Linked DNA regions of Drosophila melanogaster. The protein of the gene in region 1 interacts with the protein of each later gene in a pairwise test. Each region holds a gene or a part of one and is shown on either strand. Other genes may lie near its edges. The genes, in order: Vps52, CG8141, RpS15Aa and CG32809.

Evidence for each region.
Region 2: the proteins of Vps52 (region 1) and CG8141 interact in a two-hybrid assay, tested with the Drosophila melanogaster proteins (one large-scale study listed by BioGRID).
Region 3: the proteins of Vps52 (region 1) and RpS15Aa interact in a two-hybrid assay, tested with the Drosophila melanogaster proteins (one large-scale study listed by BioGRID).
Region 4: the proteins of Vps52 (region 1) and CG32809 interact in a two-hybrid assay, tested with the Drosophila melanogaster proteins (one large-scale study listed by BioGRID).

Annotation. Positions count from the first base shown.
Region 1 is NT_033779.5:5,520,557-5,525,435, reverse strand, and holds Vps52 (vacuolar protein sorting 52), read left to right. Parts: upstream 1-1,537; 5' UTR 1,538-1,619; coding exon 1,620-1,764; intron 1,765-1,821; coding exon 1,822-2,423; intron 2,424-2,485; coding exon 2,486-2,701; intron 2,702-2,756; coding exon 2,757-2,912; intron 2,913-2,968; coding exon 2,969-3,087; intron 3,088-3,153; coding exon 3,154-3,274; intron 3,275-3,428; coding exon 3,429-4,058; 3' UTR 4,059-4,146; downstream 4,147-4,879. Other genes in the region: Elp4 (elongator complex protein 4), read right to left, coding at 1-1,026; cl (clot), read right to left, coding at 4,147-4,300, 4,736-4,817.
Region 2 is NT_033777.3:13,189,836-13,193,165, forward strand, and holds CG8141 (uncharacterized protein), read left to right. Parts: upstream 1-1,763; 5' UTR 1,764-1,865; coding exon 1,866-1,968; intron 1,969-2,017; coding exon 2,018-2,634; 3' UTR 2,635-2,674; downstream 2,675-3,330.
Region 3 is NC_004354.4:13,334,935-13,339,546, reverse strand, and holds RpS15Aa (ribosomal protein S15Aa), read left to right. Parts: upstream 1-1,908; 5' UTR 1,909-2,042; intron 2,043-3,167; 5' UTR 3,168-3,169; coding exon 3,170-3,562; 3' UTR 3,563-3,910; downstream 3,911-4,612. Other genes in the region: CG15747 (uncharacterized protein), read right to left, coding at 1-1,095, 1,162-1,172.
Region 4 is NC_004354.4:1,689,601-1,694,380, reverse strand, and holds the start of CG32809 (uncharacterized protein), read left to right. Parts: upstream 1-1,612; 5' UTR 1,613-1,942; exon of another isoform or gene 1,943-2,084; intron 2,085-3,023; 5' UTR 3,024-3,068; coding exon 3,069-3,174; intron 3,175-3,247; coding exon of another isoform or gene 3,248-3,250; coding exon 3,251-3,301; intron 3,302-3,368; coding exon 3,369-3,508; intron 3,509-3,572; coding exon 3,573-4,181; intron 4,182-4,193; exon of another isoform or gene 4,194-4,502; coding exon of another isoform or gene 4,503-4,780. Other genes in the region: a6, read left to right, coding at 1-138; b6, read right to left, coding at 4,503-4,780.

The DNA.
Region 1 (4,879 bases):
CAGTTGGCGGATCTTGGGCACTAGGCTGGCATCGTACTTGGCAATCAGGTGCATGGGCATCGTGATCAGGCACACGGAGTTGCAGTTCCGCACACTGGCCATCAGCAGTGTGAGAAACTTGATCAGATCCTCGCCGAAGTGTTCGTCGTACCACAGCGGCGATCCCAACGAGGTCAGGCAGACGCGGCACAGGTTATTCTTGGTCCCAGCGACGAAGCTCTCGTTACGCAGCAGCTGTTGAATATCGTTGAGCAGTCCTTTGTACCGAGGGTTGTGGAACACCTGCAACGGCGAATCCTGGCTGCCTGTTTTTGTGCTACTGGTCACGCTGCTGCTATTGTTATTGTTGTTATTATTGTTGTTGGCAGAGTTCTCCTCCTCCTGGGCTGGCATCTTCTCCTGCGGAGCGGTCTCCGTGCCCGGAATCGGTGGGGCATCCTCCACGGGCTGCTGCTCCAGCGACGGAGTGGTTGGGGAGCTGCTCTTGGAGAACTCCTCGTCAATGACGATGTCCAGATGCTTGGGGCTATCGTCCCACAAGGTAGTCTTGACATTGTAGAGCATCATGGAGTCCATCTGTTCCATCAGATTGAAATGGTGTCCGATTTTTGCTGTGGCATGTTCCGAATTCACCAGCGGCAGATCATTGTATCGCCAGGCGATCCTTAGGCCATTTTCGGCGCCAGCATCTCCCAGCGCTTGCACCTCGCTTTGCTCCATCGATTCCTGGTCGGTCAGCGGTCTGGGCAGACGGCGCAGCATCTCGGCTGGAATGTCGTCCAGGCTGCCCAGAAATATCTCCTGCTTGGAAATCACACCCTCGGCCAGAAAGTACTTGGCCAGCACCTTGGCGTGCGTCATGAAGCGATCCTCCTCGATCAGGCAGATCGAACCCATGGGCAGACCGCCGCCAATGACCACGTCCAAGTACGGATTTCCGCTGGAGGTGATCACCTGCGCCGTGTGCGGTGAGGTGCGGGTGCCGCGGATTGGCTTCTGCACGGTGCGCTTGCGGAAACTGGTCATCTTCGTCGCACAGATTTCGCTAACCTTTATTTTTTGCGTTCTTTTTTGCTATGTGTTTCCTTCTCTTCGCGTAAACTTCTATTTCGATACTTTCGATATTATCTATTCTCGATGGCTGCCAATGGGGGCACACTCTCCAATTGTGTATCGATAGTCAAAACAGCTGTTAATTCGCAAGTTCTGGGTAGGGCGATAGTTTAGCTTTTATTGCTTAAAAATAAATTTGTGTTCATGTTGTATAATTGGTAGAATATAAGAGGCACAAGTCAAGTGTTGTACTAGAAAAGAAACTCATTGATTGCTTGTGTACAAATAAATGAATAATTGAAAAAAATTGGTCTTAAATTCAATTTCAATTTTCACCCAAAAATTAATTTTAATTAAAATTGTATTAGTTAAGTAATTTTTTATATGAACCAAGAAATCTTTTTTTTTTTTGAAAACATAGTTTAGTTCTCATCACCAATATTAGGGTCTTTCCAAAAGCACATCTTACTCCGATAACAAAAACAGCTGTTTTGATGACATACTTTATTTTTGTTGGTAGTTGAGAAAAACAATTGGGAAAAATACCTTTAAATTGGAAAACAAAAATGGCCGAGGTGCCGTCCCCGCAAATGACGGAACAACTGGACAACGAGGAGGTGCGGGAGATCCTAAAGAACACCACGGATCTGCGGCAATATTCACGACAGATTGAAAAGGAGTTTAAGGAGGTGGAGAATAAGTCCATAGAGGGTAAGCACCATGTTCCATATGCAAACTTAGCTCTAATGATATCCCTTTGAATACCAGACTATATAGCGGAGTCGCAGAATATAGCCAACCTGCACAATCAGATAAACGATTGCGACGATGTCCTGGAGCGCATGGAAAATATGCTGATGAGCTTCCAGAGCGTTTTGAACAACATAAGCACTGAGATCACGCAGCTGCAAAGAAAATCCGTATCCATGTCCCTCCAACTGACCAATCGTCAGTCGGTCAAGGCTCAATTGTCCCAGTTTATCGAGGACATGGCCGTGTCCGAGGAGATGATCAACATAATAATGGAAACCCCGGTTACGGAGCGGGATTTCAGCACCCAGTTGAATGTACTGAATCACAAACTTTCGCTGGTCAAGGAGCTCAGCTTCAAAGAGTCAAAGTCCACCAGCGATGTGAGCGATGTGCTGCAGAAGCTTCGACTGAAAGCCATGGCCAAGATTCGCTCCTATCTGCTGGAGCAGATTTACAAGTTCCGGAAGCCCATGACAAACTACCAGATTCCACAGAACGCCATGCTGAAGCACAAATTCTTCTTCGAGTTCATCCTGTCCAACGAGCGGCATGTGGCGCAGGAAATATGCAGTGAATACATCGATACGATGGGCAAAATTTACTATAGCTATTTTAAGGTTGGTTTTTTTTTCAAAGTTGTGGAAGCATGAATTTTCTTAAATTCATAACTTTCTTGCAGAGTTATTCCACACGCTTGACGAGCCTCAAATTCGAGGAGTCCTGCACAAAGGACGATCTGATGGGCATCGAAGATAATGCATCCAAAGGTTTATTCTCCAAGACGACGAGTCTAAAGCACAAGAGCACCATTTTCACAATAGGAAAGCGAGGCGATATACTTAACCAGCAGCTGGAGGCACCAATTATAGTGCCACATGCGCAGCTAAAGAATCGAGTAAGAGATGTGATACATACACTTGCAAAGGAGATACATCTCAAATTTTAAACAGTACACAGCGGAAGCTCTCTTTCGGTCGGAGCAATACGCCCTAGTGGACAATGCCTGTCGGGAATACCTATTTGTCACGGAGTTCTTTATGGTTCGCGGCACTCAAGCGCAAGATTTGTTCAACCAAATCATGGGCAAAACCCTAACTCTAATGATTGTAAGTCAATGGTTTTTACTTGCGAAATATTAATCATATCTGTTTTTTGAACCTAGAAAAATCTGGAGACCTCCATACACGACTGTTTTGATACCATTGCCATGTTCCTGTGCATCCATCTCATTTTCCGCTATCAGCTAATGTGCCACAAGCGCTGTGTTCCCGCATTGGATAAGTGAGTCTATTCATGGGCGTTGATGATTTTGGTTCACAATTGGATATTTATATGTTTTGATTTCAGATACTGGGACTCCCTGCAGGCGGTAATATGGCCACGTTTCGAACTAGTATTCCGCTTGAATATCCAGAGCATACATGACTGTGATCCAACCAAGTTCAACAAGGAATTGGGACCGCACTACGTAAGTATACGATTTAAAGTTAGTACGGGTTACAAATTATCTTAAATCGATGTTGATAGCATTCTAAAAGTCAAGAGAGGGCCAATAGAGATAACTTTTAACCATTTCTTTTGAACAAAACGCCTTGTCATAATATAATACGTATACTTTACAGATAACACGACGCTACGCAGAGTTCAGTGCGGCCATTGTGGGAATCTCGGAGCATTTTCCTAATGAATTGGTTAGCCGACTGCTTCTGGAACTGCAAAATGAAGTGGAGTGCTTTATCCTTCGCATGGCCGCAATATTTCCAACGCGAAAGGATCAGCTAATCTACCTGATAAACAACTACGATTTGGTTTTGGGCGTGTTGATGGAGCACACGCGAGATAACTCCAAAGAAGCGGAGGCATTCAGAGAGCAGCTCAACTCCCGCAGTGCGGAATATGTCGAGGAGATCCTGGCCCCTCATTTCGGAGGCATTATTCAGTTCGTCAAGGAGTGCGAGCACTTCTTCGAGAAGGAACAAATGGATGAGCTGCGCAAACAGGAGCGAAGAAGTCTGGCCTTGGTCGCCAGCTTCTCGGCCAATTGGAAGAAATCTCTGGAGGAGCTAAACAGGGAGGTGCTTCTCTCATTTCCCTCATTGCTGACGGGCTCACAGCTTCTGCAGCTTGCGTTGGCCAGTTTGGTGCAATACTATCACCGATTCCACAAGCTCCTCACGCCCAATGCCCGCGCCCAGCTGACCAATATCCACGTCGTGATGGTGGAGATCAAGAAGTACAAGAGCAATTACTGAGGGACGCTTTAATTGAATCTGTGTGTGTGTCTTCTGTGTATTCCAAATTGAGTAAAGTTCCAAAATAAATGTATGTAAGGTATACGACTTAATCCTCATCCTCGAACATCATCTCGACGAGATCCTGATTGGAGCAGCGCTCGCCATCCAGACGCTGTGGCCGCTTCCAGCGCAACAGAGTGGGCAAGAAGATCAGATGCGTGTTGGGATCCTTGCGGAAGGGGCAGTTCAAATCCTTCCAGCTGCAGTGAAAAACAAGTGTTAATTTATTGCTTACCACGGTTCAGTGATAACAGGCGGCATGAATACAACTCAAGAGCATTGTAAAGCTATCGTTGTTTAATGGTTTTTTTTATCATGAATGTTCTCGGCGTGTGAAAAAGTACTCGAGTGCTTATTTCATCATCGTACAGTTGGGGTTGAGTGACTAGTTTCACATTGCCAAAATGTTTTGAACTTGATAATCGAATGACAAAGGGTTTTGGCAACTGAATGACGTGGGATATATGCATATATGTACGTCATTCTAAATGACTAAGCCTGTGTTTTGAAACTATTTGGCTATTTCGAACCAAAGAAACCAGCAGATGTTCGCAGTCTCGCAGTGCATGAAATATTAATTCCTGCTTATCTAACTAATCGCAGCTGTTTTCTTCAGTTTGGCGGTATTAACTTACTATGCCCGCTCGCCCACATCCACATGCACGAAGTGCGAGTTGCCCGGGGCCTTCTTCAGCGCATCGTGTATCACCGGCTCCGCTGCAAACGTGAGAAATGAGTTTGGGAATCGGATAGGTTGCGGTTAGCCGCATTGGGATCAC
Region 2 (3,330 bases), on another chromosome or scaffold:
GCAGACAGTGCACTTTCGAGCATCAGACAAACGAAGTTAGGTACGAACTTAAAGGCTTGCCAAGCTGGAAAAGTTAAAGTTAGCTTTTTGGCACAAGTAGTGAGAAGGGGTTGGTAATTTGGGTAGGGGTTTTTAGGAGCGTTGTAGTAGCCTAATTACGCTCCAATGGCTGCCCATCAAAAGTGACAGTTGGCAAGGCAGGGGCTTACAATAAAATTTCAAGTTAAGTTATTGCCGCGCCGCTGGCGAGAGCTACGCGAATACTCAGTTGAAAGTAATTCCAAATTTAATTGCGCACAATTTAGAATGGCGAGATGTTGGCGTGCGTTTAATTAACTGAAAAATAACATAAAAAGCAAAACGAAAACAAAGCCCAATGACAGCCGCGGCGCCAGTGGAAATGCTTAATGTTAAATGCCAACTAATTAAATTTCGGGCATGCCAACGAAGTTGACTGGAGTTGAACTGCCGAATTTATTGTTGCATTTAATGGCCAGCGCAGGCGGTTATCCTTGTGCCATCGCTCGGCTTTACCACTTTTTATTGCGTATACGCTGGGGCACCCCCATTACGTATACGCAGTGTATTACGCCCCTCCACTCACAGCAGGCAAATGGACAGGCTAAAGGATTCGCTTTGTGGACAGGGATATAGGATGCCAAATGACGCAGAACCACTGGCATTGCGATTGTAATTCCGATTGGGCAAACGTCAGTTTCTCTGCGGTCCGTCGCCAAATGAAGCCAATAAAATGTCCTTGTTCGCACGCAAACGTGCGAAAGTGATTCATGTAAACTGATAAAAATTTAATCATATTTCACGTATTAACACGTAATTATTAATGCCTGATAAATGTCGGCAGTTGTGTAATATGTGAAAAAGTCGCTATTAATATGCATTATTTTCCGCTAGTTGTTATTTCACTGGGTAAGTAAAAAGCGCACGGTGTGTCCACAAGCTTCGGAAATACTTTGCTACGCATTACCATATAATTATAGTACTTTAAAAATATTTTATAGATGGTCTTAAAAACTTAAATTTCATTATATTTTACCACGCAACACTCCCGCTTGTTTTTTATTCAGAACAAGAACAGGTTATTTTACACCACTGCGTAATAGTTCTTTATTTAATTCTGTTCGAGTGTGTAATTTCGCTATGAAACTTCACTTTTATTATTATTGTCATTGTTATGTGTGCGAACGCCTGTCGGCGGGTTTATTTGGACCGTCCCGCGCTTTATTTTCTTTTAATTATGTACTCAGCTCACAAATGTGGGTCAATTAACAAGCAGTCGATGGTCCCCATCGATGTCGAAAAATCGGGATTAAACAATGCCGCAGACGTGCTGCCAGGACAATGCAAACAATTGTCAGAATTTAAATGCAGCGGCAACGGACCGCGAAGTTTCCACTCACTATCCGGTTCAATTTTCGCATAAATTATGCCGCCATATGTCACACATCTGGCGAATGCTACGAATTTCGATTTTCCGCCGTTTTTCCGGAACTGTCAAATGCTCGGCGTGTGTAGTTCGCTGTTTTGCAATTCTTGGACGGAATGCTGGAATGGTTTTAATATAAATCACTAAGTGTCTGCAAAACAATCAAAATCTGGCATGAACTATGTTACGGTGAAACTTAGTCATTAATTAATATGCCCTCAAATTTAAGTCGCTGAAAATGTCTTGCTTTTCATATAATCGAGAAATAAAATTACTATTGTACCTAAGATCTGTGTTAAGAATATTATAAAAAGTCGCGTTTGCTTTGACTCAGTTGTCACAAATTTGCCAGGCACAAATTTATATTTATGTAATTTGGAGCATGGGTTTTTAAAAACAATAATCACAAAAAGATTTTGAAATGGAAGCAGTTGCTAGAGAAAATGATCCACCAAATCATTGCTATATAAATGAAGAAGTTCCAGCGAATGAAACTGCCGAGAATCCTAGTCATGGCCTTCAAGGTGAGGCATTCCAATTAAATGGAAAATTATTAATGTTCAAGGTGAGCAGGTGAGGTGATTTCAAAGGGTTATATACCAGACTTGTCCAACGCAAACGTCAATCAGCAACAGCAGCAGGAAAATGATGGCGAAGATGACCTCTTGCCTGGAACTAGACTTCGCTACCGTCGCAGGAATTTGCATCTGGATCCCTATGTGTGCAATGAGTGCAACCAGTATGTGCGTGGTGGTGTGATCACCATCTGTGGTCATTTGTTTTGCTGGACTTGCCTGTGGCCCAAATTGAGTGGTACAGCACAGCCAAGATGTCCATGCTGTCAACGACATTTGCTCATGTACGAGGACATCATGCCCTTCCATGGAGAGGGACCCAATGCCCGTCAGGAGGATAATAATGTGCCGGCCCAGCCGGGCTCAGTGCCTCGCCCGACGGGACTGTATCTCTCTGATACTGATTTTCCCTGTTGGTTCGCGGTCAACGATCCTGTAGATGGGTGCCCAGCGACTTTCCCTGATATTCGCAGGGAGAGGGATCTTCACTGCGCTATAAGGCTTATTCCAATGGTGTACCCTTGGATCGGAGCACAAATTAGTTTTCTCAAGTGGTTCCAGTTGGGATGCGTGTTGCTCATATTTCTGATATGGTCCGTACTGTCGCTGTTCTAAGAGGTGTTTTTGTAATACATTTTTGTTTTTGGTTAATGGGAGAAGAGTGCGTTTTGGTTAATATCTTAAGAGGTTGGTCGGACCTCAATAAATTTCTGCTAATGCTGAAAGTATCTATTTTATAAAATCGAATGATTTAAATCGTATATAACATTCATTATAATTTGTTGCCCAAACCTCTGCAGCCAAGACATTTTCGTTGGAACCCTCTTGCATCTTCAACGAATCGAAGAAATATTTTATGAACTCTCTGGCCAAGTCAAAGTTAGTAAGTGCAACAACGCAAAGTACCGGGGCATCCTGGCCAGCTGAAACAATAAATTCTTGGGGCAGTTAGGAAACCAGACAAAACTGTAAGCAAAGTTAAGCAGCTTTAAGTCGGAACTTAAAGCCTTTTCACCTGAGGAGTATGGAAAGAAACGAACCGAATACTTTGGCTAATGAACCATGGTCAACTGAATATTCGGGGAATTGGGTTAGCCCAATTGAGTTGTTAACCGACTTTTGTGGGGGATGGACACTTGATGACAGCTCCGTGGGGGAATTGGAGTTGCGTGTCGGCCTTTAGCGGCTTGGCTCTGGGCAATATTTATCATTAATTAAGTGAGTGCCGAGAAATCCGTAAGGATATATAACCGAAAGGCAAGTGACAGAAGTTAATGCGTCAGCTAGGTGGAGAAAGCGACACGGACATTG
Region 3 (4,612 bases), on another chromosome or scaffold:
TCGCCCACGGTCCTCTTGCGCCAGAAGAGTGTGCGATCCACAGGCGGTTTGGTGACTCTCGGCACGGGTAGATCCTTTTCGTTCACTTCGGCATTGGAATCATCCTTTTTGGTGGGGGATTGTTGCGAGGCCTCGGGTTCTTTGGGTTTAACGGGCTCTGAACTTTCCGGAGCCTTGTCCTTATCCTCCTTTTTGATCTGGGACAGCTTATTCTTTTCCTTCTCATTCTCCTTCTCGTCTTCTTCATCGCTGGAGTCGTCTATGCTAAAATCAGAATCGGCATCTATGTTGTTGGTCAAATGTGCCTGCGCTGGTATGCTTTCCGTTTGATCCGTTGACTTCGTGGCGTCCGAGGCTGCGTCTGATTTGCTCTTAGTCTGCTCCTCTTCATCCTCGGAGGGGCGACGTCGCCGATAGCTTCGATGCTTGACAGCCTCTGCCTTAATGGGTTTGTATGCCACCTCGTCGGTGGTGGGCGCCGTCTTTGGCTTGACGACATCCTGCTGGGCGGGACCGCCCAACTTTTGTTCGTATAGATGGCGATAGAAGCCGTCCAGATCCTTTTGCTTGGTCACATCGCCAATGGCCTCGAGGTACTCATCACGCTGCTCCTGCTCCTGCATCTGGCGTATGGACTCGAGCTTCTTGCGGTAGGCGGCAGTCACGTAGGTGTCCTTGTCCTTATACATCTCGCCCTCGGCTTCGCGATCCTTCTGCACCTGCCGTTCGATGCGCAGCTCCTTCTCCAGCTTTCTGCGCTCGGCATGCTCCATCAGCCGGCCAATGTACTTTGGTTTCCGCGGCTCCTGGCTCTTCGTCTGCTTGGCCTCCTCGCGTTTGCTGTCCATGTCATCGTACAGCTCGTCGTACTGGAATATGGTTGGATCCTCGGCCAGGGCCTTCTCCTGCTGCCGGCGGGCCACGCGGCGTTCCATTAGACTAGGACCCATGGATACGCCGCCGGTTCTTGGCTGAAATTGAGGAGCAGCTGGGTCATCATCGGTCTCGGAGTCGCTGTTCTCGTCGAAGATGGAGGGCCTTTCGACTCGTTTTAGAGGTACTTTCTTCTGTTGGCCGGGTAAAATAAGGCCATATCTGCACGGTGTTGAAACGGGTCCTTAAAAAACTGCTCAAATTGTTTATTTTTAACAAATTACTTACTGTTTTGCCATTCTTGTTTATTTATGAATAATTAGTATGACCGTCTGAAGCGACCACAAAAATCCCTCAATGGTGCAAAACTGCTGACAGCAACGCTTTACCGGCTAAAAGAACCGTTGTATATCGATAGGAGGACCATTCGATAGTATTAAGATAATAGTTTGAAACACGGATAGTATCACAAAATTCGTTATTTCAATGTGAAACTACTTTAAAACTTGTGCTTTAATCAACTTGTATTTAATTGTGTTTCAATGGACCAATCATTACTTTATTTTCTGTTTTATTGCCAAACCAAGGCTCTTACCCCTTGAAATCATGTTAGTGCAACTCTAGAGACGTAAAATACACATACAAATATGGCGAAATATTGAAACAAATTAAAATAAATTTAAATATAAATAAATTGTTATGTTAATAAAGCGTTTAATTATCACTTAAGGCCTGCTGTTTTTTTTTTATTTATTTTTTTACGCCAATGGAAACATCGGTCCTTAGTCTGGCTACGCAGAAAAATATAGACGGGATCATGATGCTCGGGGGGATCAGAGAAATATCAAAGATTACTTCTGAAGCCGTTCAAGTCTATTCACATGCATAGTGGCAGTTGGGCTCCAAATAATTGGAAGCGATTTTAGTCAAGCCAGCAACCGCGGCCTGCGTCCGGCTAACTATCGATAGGCACGTTGAGCGTAGACACATTCGACAAACGCGGCCACACTGTTCTGCGTCTTTTTCCTTCCGTTTCCCTTTCTTTTCCCTTTTTCACGTTTGCGTGAGTACGTGTACTCCGAGTTTTGTTCAACAAAATTGTATTTAACTCTCTTTTATTTCCTCTATTTGCAGCGGTCGTGTAAAACAGTTTTTGCAAACAAATCCAGGTAAATGCCGCTTCCATTGGACCCGTTTTAAGCGCGAAAATTCAGCCAGATTAGATTGGCGGCGATCGCCGGCCGAAACATGTGCAAATCCACCCAACTCCGTTTTTTTTATTACCCATTTTTTTTTACTGTGGGCCAATGTGCCAAAACTGATCAGTTTACCGTGTAAACAATGCATGAAATGCCTCGCTACATGCGCTATATATATGTATTTTTTTGGTTATAATTTTTTTAATGTGCAAACGAATATGAAGTGAAAAATTGGCCAAAGTGTGTGGCACAGTGTTGTTGTGCATGTGTGGGTGGGTGTGAGCGGCTTTAAATTGTGGCAAAAAGTTGGGCATTCAGTTGAATCGAATGCACGACCGAAAACCGGCTAAATTAAACAAATTTTTACGCAGTTTAGTTGGTAAACTTACCCGAAATAGTTGTTGTTTACAGCCACTTGTACGCACACACACACAGCCGCAGAAACACAGACAGTATCATTTTTTTTTCTTTGCTATTTTGCACGTGTTTTACTTGCTGTTTCTGCTTCTTTTTTTATTCAATGTTCCGTTCCTCGCTGATTTAAAAAGTGAAGTAAAAAACTGTTAAAAATCATAATCAATATTAAAAAACGATTCGTCGTCTGTCCGCGTGAATTTCCGAAAAGGCGCCACGCCTCCTGCCCTCCAGAAATCTAGAGTATTATAATAGTAGCCACTTTTATTGAATACTTTATTATGCTCATAATGGTTCATATGTGTTAGGGAAACCTTTTTCCAATAAGTCATATGCCACACTTGTATAGGCTCCATAAGTTGATATGTTTTGTTTAGGTGGTCAATTGATCTGTTCTTGTAGTACACATAGTTTTACGTACTTTTCAAGTTAGTTTTTCATTTAATAGGGCTTAAGCTTTGTTAGCCAACCTCATAGTACTACTTATATAGTAGTTATATGCAATTTAGTGAGATACTTTTTTTTAGTAGGCTCTGAGCACGTTTTGCTTGGTTTTGTAGACTGATTTTATAGAGCAATGGGGGTGGCAAAGTCTGCACTTTCGATTAAAGCCCAAGACATCATCTTTTTTTTTCTGTGATTATTGCCTCTTGACTAATTGTGTTCCCGAACATTTTGCAGCCATGGTGCGTATGAACGTATTGGCCGATGCCTTGAAGTGCATAAACAACGCCGAGAAGCGTGGCAAGCGGCAGGTGCTGCTGCGTCCCTGCTCCAAGGTGATCATCAAGTTCCTGACCGTGATGATGAAGCATGGCTATATCGGCGAATTCGAGATCGTCGACGATCATCGTTCCGGCAAGATCGTTGTCAACCTGACCGGTAGGCTAAACAAGTGCGGCGTCATCTCGCCCCGCTTCGATGTGCCCATCAACGACATCGAGAAATGGACCAACAATCTGTTGCCCTCGCGTCAGTTTGGTTACGTTGTGCTCACCACCTCTGGCGGCATCATGGACCACGAGGAGGCTAGGAGAAAACATTTGGGAGGCAAAATTCTCGGCTTCTTCTTCTAGAGAAACCAAGTTCGCATCGTAGAGAGTCTGTATGTGCTGCTAAGGAGTTTGATATGTAGATTGACGTTTTATTTCACCGACCATGCAACCAACTATGTACTTTGTGCACAGGAAACAAGGGGCGAAAACGCTGCTACGTTCATTCAGAAAACAAACGACGATGAATGTTCACAAAGTTACGCGAAATAAAATGATTGATACATAATAATTTTAATAACGATTTTGTCTACGATCCATATACTATGTTAAGCGGTACAGTGATAAATCAATAGCGACAGTAAAACGATCTGTTAACATAAAACCCAATTTGTGTATAATATAACCTCGACCGGAGTTACTTATAGCTGGATATTGTCAATTTTATGGCTGAAATCAAGACAATTAGGATGTTAAGAACGCGCCATGCGGTTTCTTTTGAGGTGCTTAAAACACGGTTACGTGCTTTCCATAATGAAAGTAAGGGCCAATTGTTCCCACTCTTGACACCTTAAAGCCAAAAATGATTAGACCATCATAGTTTTGGTATTCCCACCTAGGTTTCTTATTATTTGTTAGAACTTCTTCACCAAGAAAACCTCAATTACTGTCAAAAATTGTTTATGAAGCAAATAATGCTTGTTAGAATTTGTTGTAGTTTCTATAGAACAAAATGTACATGTAAAACGTACATTTACATGCTTCTTCAGGTTTTCAACTGTTTTCCAGCACAAGTTCCGAATTTATGCTGTAGATAACTGCTGCAATTTTTGAGTAAAAATTTGTTTTAATTATGATAAAGTGTATTCACTCGATGAGTCAAATTTGATGTTATCTCAAGTTATCCCTAGGGAGTACTAGGTTTTTTATGAACGGGTGTTGGGTTTGTGATATTCGTTTTTAGGCATTACTTGTTATCAACACTTAAAGTTTTTGCGGGCAAATTGCAGCCCTCGAGTTCAGTGCTGCAAAACTCGTCACAAACGCAGCTCAACTAATTTTCGAATCGTATCCAGCACTATATATTCATTAAAAATCCATTGCATACTTTGTGGCTCATTTGAAATTGACTGA
Region 4 (4,780 bases), on another chromosome or scaffold:
CAGCATCTGCAGTACGTCGGCGGCGGACTCGCAGCTCCAGTGGCTCTTGCCCTTCCGGTGATGGCAGCAAATCCGACCTCGTCTGCTTCCGTTGTTGCCTTGCCGCTGCAGCTGCCGCGGCGCCGAAAACTGGGATGAGCTGGATGACTGATGACCGATGACCCGCCAGAACCGAGTCCCCATCGCCATAATATCATTCCCCGAGCCGGAAGCACGGCATAGACTTTAACTAGCAGTGGCTAGAAGTGCAAATATGAACGTAGGTTTAGCGACAACACATCACTATTTCCCAGTTATCCTTGAATCCAGGACTAGTCCTTGTCCGGTCGATTTTTGTATCCTTCCCCTTTCCCAAGCACCTTCTCTCCATCTCACTCAGTTGCCCATTAATCTCCCTGTCTCTGTCATTCTCATATTTTAAGCTTTAAATGAAACGAGACGACAACGTACAAATGAAAGTAGAAAAGCATCAACCCATATACATTGTTGAGCAAAAAACACAAATTTCAAAAGATTATAAGAGGGAGTAGAAAATTTGAAGCGAGTGAGAAAGGTGAGCCCAATATTTATAAAGTACAAGTAGCTAGCTTAAGATATACTATGTATATGTACATTTGATTTAGTGTATCATATATTACATGGCTGAATCACGTCGTGTAATCCGTCGCAGTCCGCCGTCTGTATTACATTAGCTGATCACCAAACCGGAATAAATTTTCATTGTATATATATATATATATACATGTACACCAGCTGTGAGAAAAGGAAACTATGCGTATGCCATCAAGGTTCGTTTCGACCAAGCGCTCCTTGAACCACGACTGATCTCTGGCCAGGATTTCGTGGGTGAACTCGTATCGCGCTAGGGCACTCTTAATATAGAGCGAGAGTTGCGGCAGGAGCAGATCCTCAGAGTGGCTGACAAAGTCATGGGATCCTTGGTCACGCGCTTCAGTCGCTGAGCATGCTAATGCCCGCAGTGGTGTTGCCGCAAAACTGTCGAATACAATCGTAAATGAAAATGAAATCGAGTTGCATCTTCTGTGGCCAAACTCACTCGAGTGTTGTCCACGTGCGGCTTGATCGCGCCAGAGTCAGCCAAGTCCAGGATGTGCACGAAGGGCATGACCTGCTCACCGAAGGAAACTCACGAGACGTGATCCAGCGTGGCCTGGTTTTGGGGAGTCCACTTTCGGCGTTCAACTTCGCGGTATCTGCCTGCGAAGTTTAAGAAGTTTAGCCAGAAATCCGATACTATATAGTCTCTATATATACCCACCCACGTCATCACAGTGGCTCAACTCGTACGGCAAGCGGCTGATGTGAGGCTCGATTTCCCGCATCAGTAGTTGCTCCTCCTTCGCAGTGATGAAGTCCCTGATGACCCGCATGTCCGATTCAAACTGGTGCTGCTCACAGCGAGGCCACTGGCCGGGAAACTCCACCAGGGCGTGGCTGCGGGCCCAGACATCCGCTGGAATCCTGGCTACTCCCGGATAAACAAGCCGGCGCAGGACAAGCATGTGTTTCGTCACCTGTTTTTAAAGGCCTTCCGCCCAGTAATCGATTGGAGCCATTCGATAGCCACATGCGCTCAACCGCCAAGAAAATTACTCGATTGCCCCGGCACCAGGTAAACACACACAACAGAGCAGCGTCGGAATGCAGGGATGCCAGGACCTCTGACGGCTGGATGCCAGGGAACTTCGCTGGTCCGGGAACACTCGATTGGTAACGCATGCGCCGTGCAAGCACGCAGTCCTCGTTCGGCTAGGGCGGAAACGCTTTCCGGTGTAGATATACCAGAAATATTTCTGCTCTTCTGGCGTTATGCTGCGTCGGTGGACGAGTGCCGTGTCCTGACTCCAGAAAGCTGTGTAGTGACGAGTGCAAAGCGAAGCGAATTGAATCGAATCTTTATCCTAAGGACACGGCTAAATCGGTGAGCTCCTCGAGCTATGAGCACCTAGACCCGTTAATTGTGAAACCTTCCTGAATCGGCAAGGCAAGTGCGGTTTGAGAAAATGCCAGAAACATCGCCGGTGAACCGCCCACACACCCCCAAAGGTGCATAGGTATACAAGGTACAGCTAGGACGAGATCCCCCATGAAAACCCAAAGGAATCCAGCCAACTGACCGCTGACGTGTGTGGAAAAGTCAACAGACACGAGCTCCCCTCCACCGTGTTTAATGTGCACTCGTGCCCTGGAAACTGGACGCAACTGACACAATTAATGGCGGCTGGGAAAAAACGGGCCGGGGCACCGCACCTAAAACTAATCAAAAATTCCTTTAGTGGCCCGCAATAATGCCGATGGGCAGTGAATGTGGGTGGCTGTGTACATATTCCCAGGCACTGGCACTGGCAAAGGCAAAGGCATACTAAAACCCGTGAAGTGCTGCACTGAAAAGTATACCATGTTTCGTGTGTACCCATCTCTGCGTCCGTTTCCTTTTGGTGCCCCTTCCTCGGATTTCTTGCTCGAGATAAACATGTACATGCAGCCAAAATAACTTGACATGCCTTGTTTAAAGCAACTTCCAACTCCAAAAACGTTTACATATGCAAAACAAATTCGAAAGTGATTCGTGTTCTCTCAGCAAATGGCATCTTAATGGCAACTGCGATGAACAATTGTATTCGGCCAACACTATTGTCTGTTCTGCCAGCCGCATTTCTGGGGTCCCGATCCAGATCCGCATGCAGTTCCAGATCCAGCTCCAGTCACGCCTTCCGCTCTGTCCTGCTTTCTTGCTCCATTCCGTGTTGCAGAGCAGAGTTTGCGCACTCCGTTGCATACTTTTTGCATTGAGCACTGGCACTGCCACTGCGAGGCTCCACTCCATTCCACCACACCCTGTTAAAGAATGTGCGAGGATACATGGTTTATCTACACCAAAGTTGCATGTTGTGTGTGTGCGGTTTAGCGTGTTGTTGCCGGTACCAAACGTAAACAAAGACCAAAAAAATAAGGACATTTTCACGTTACCCATACGCCCCGTTGTCTCTCATTTTCTGCAGCTGCAACATAGCCACTGAGCTCCGCACATCTCAAACGGCTGCAGGATGTTGATCCGTTGGAAGAGTAAGGACAAGAGCGCCTCCTCCAACCAGAGCGTCGGCGGCAGCAGCAGCTCCTCGTCGAAGAAGAAGCGCAAGGGTAGAGAGGGCGGTAAGTAATCGGAATCCATAAATCGGAAGGAAGCGAAATGAAATGAGCCTAACTCCAGCTCCCTCTCTTTCAGAAGAAGACTGGCAGAATGAGGCAAAGTCGGGACGGCTTCCGTCGAATGAACAGGGTATGTTAAGGACCAAAGACGTCCACGGATCTGTAGCCCCATCCTCAGTGTCTATGTGTTTCCCCAGGTGGCGACGAAAGACGACGAGCCATGCGACGCGACGATCCACGACGACATACGCTCGGCGGCGATATGCTGGTCTACGGCTCGCAGCATCCACACGCCCATCAGATGGCGCCCCAGCAACAGCGGGCCATGGATCTGGAGGTGAGCTCCATCTCCCATCTCAACTCGTTTCTACCATCAGTTTCTGATTCTTGTCCCTTCTTAGATGAGTACGCGCGCGCAGAAGAACAAAAAGAACCAGCCGATGCGCGGTTATGCGCCTGTTAACCAGGGACCGCTGTTCGACGACGATCCCGGCATCATGTCGGAGGTGGAAACGGCCAGCACCGGATTCCGGAGGGGCGGCAAGCAGCGCTCCTCGCTCCCCGTGGTACGCACGCCCTCGAAAACTCTGGAACGACCGCTGGGCCTGGTCTTTCTGCAGTACCGCTCGGAGACGAAGCGCGCCCTGCTGCCCAACGAGATCACTTCGATTGATACGGTGCGCGCCCTGTTCGTACGCTCGTTTCCGCGCCAGTTGACCATGTCATATCTGGAGGGGCCCAATGTGAAGATTTACATTCACGATGCCAGCAAGGATATGTTCTACGAGCTGGAGGACGTGCGCTCGCATCTGCGCGAGATCAGGGATCGCTCCGTGCTGCGTCTCTTTGAGTCCACTGAGGTGGCAGCCCCGCCCCAGATTCTGCCCGGCGGCCCTGGAATACCCCAACCCCTGCCGCAGGCGCAGGCCAATTGGGATCAGGATCAGAGCTACTTCAGCGAGCCGGAGTTCGACTCGGACTACAAGCACCAGCATATCCACAAATCAAAGGTAAGTGCTGCTAGATGGTATCAGTTAAATAGTCCTTTATTCAATATCACCGCGTAATTGCTAGGGTGAGGATGTAGGGCTTAGGGAAGCAGGATGGATTGGTGTCCATGAGCGAGTCAAGGATTGTTTGGTGGCCAAATGGGTGGCAACAGTAAAGCGTTGACTCCCACATGGACAATTGTGGCACAAGATGCCCAACCAATCGAATACTTATTCGTACATATATAGAAAAAAAAAAGATATGGAAATAATGGGGTGGGGCTGGGAAAGCTTAAGCTGGGGTCCTAGGACACTAGAATGTTATCCGAACTTTGGGAACAACTAGAAGTTACCACATGGACCCACACTGAGGCCCTTGAGGGCGTTGTTCATGTGCTCGCGCACATCCTTCCACGAAAACACGATGGCACCCTGGAAAGGCTCCGTGTGGCAGCTGCTACAGATGGCCATCACGGCCCTTACCTCCTCCTCGGCGGGCTCTCGGTCGTGCGTGCTGATCTCCTCCTCCAGGCTCATCTTGAGCGTAAGATCCTGCTTAAATTGCTGTCCGCCAAAGTCGGCGAGACCGTTGTAAATCAAGCTCCCATCCGTTCCGGAAC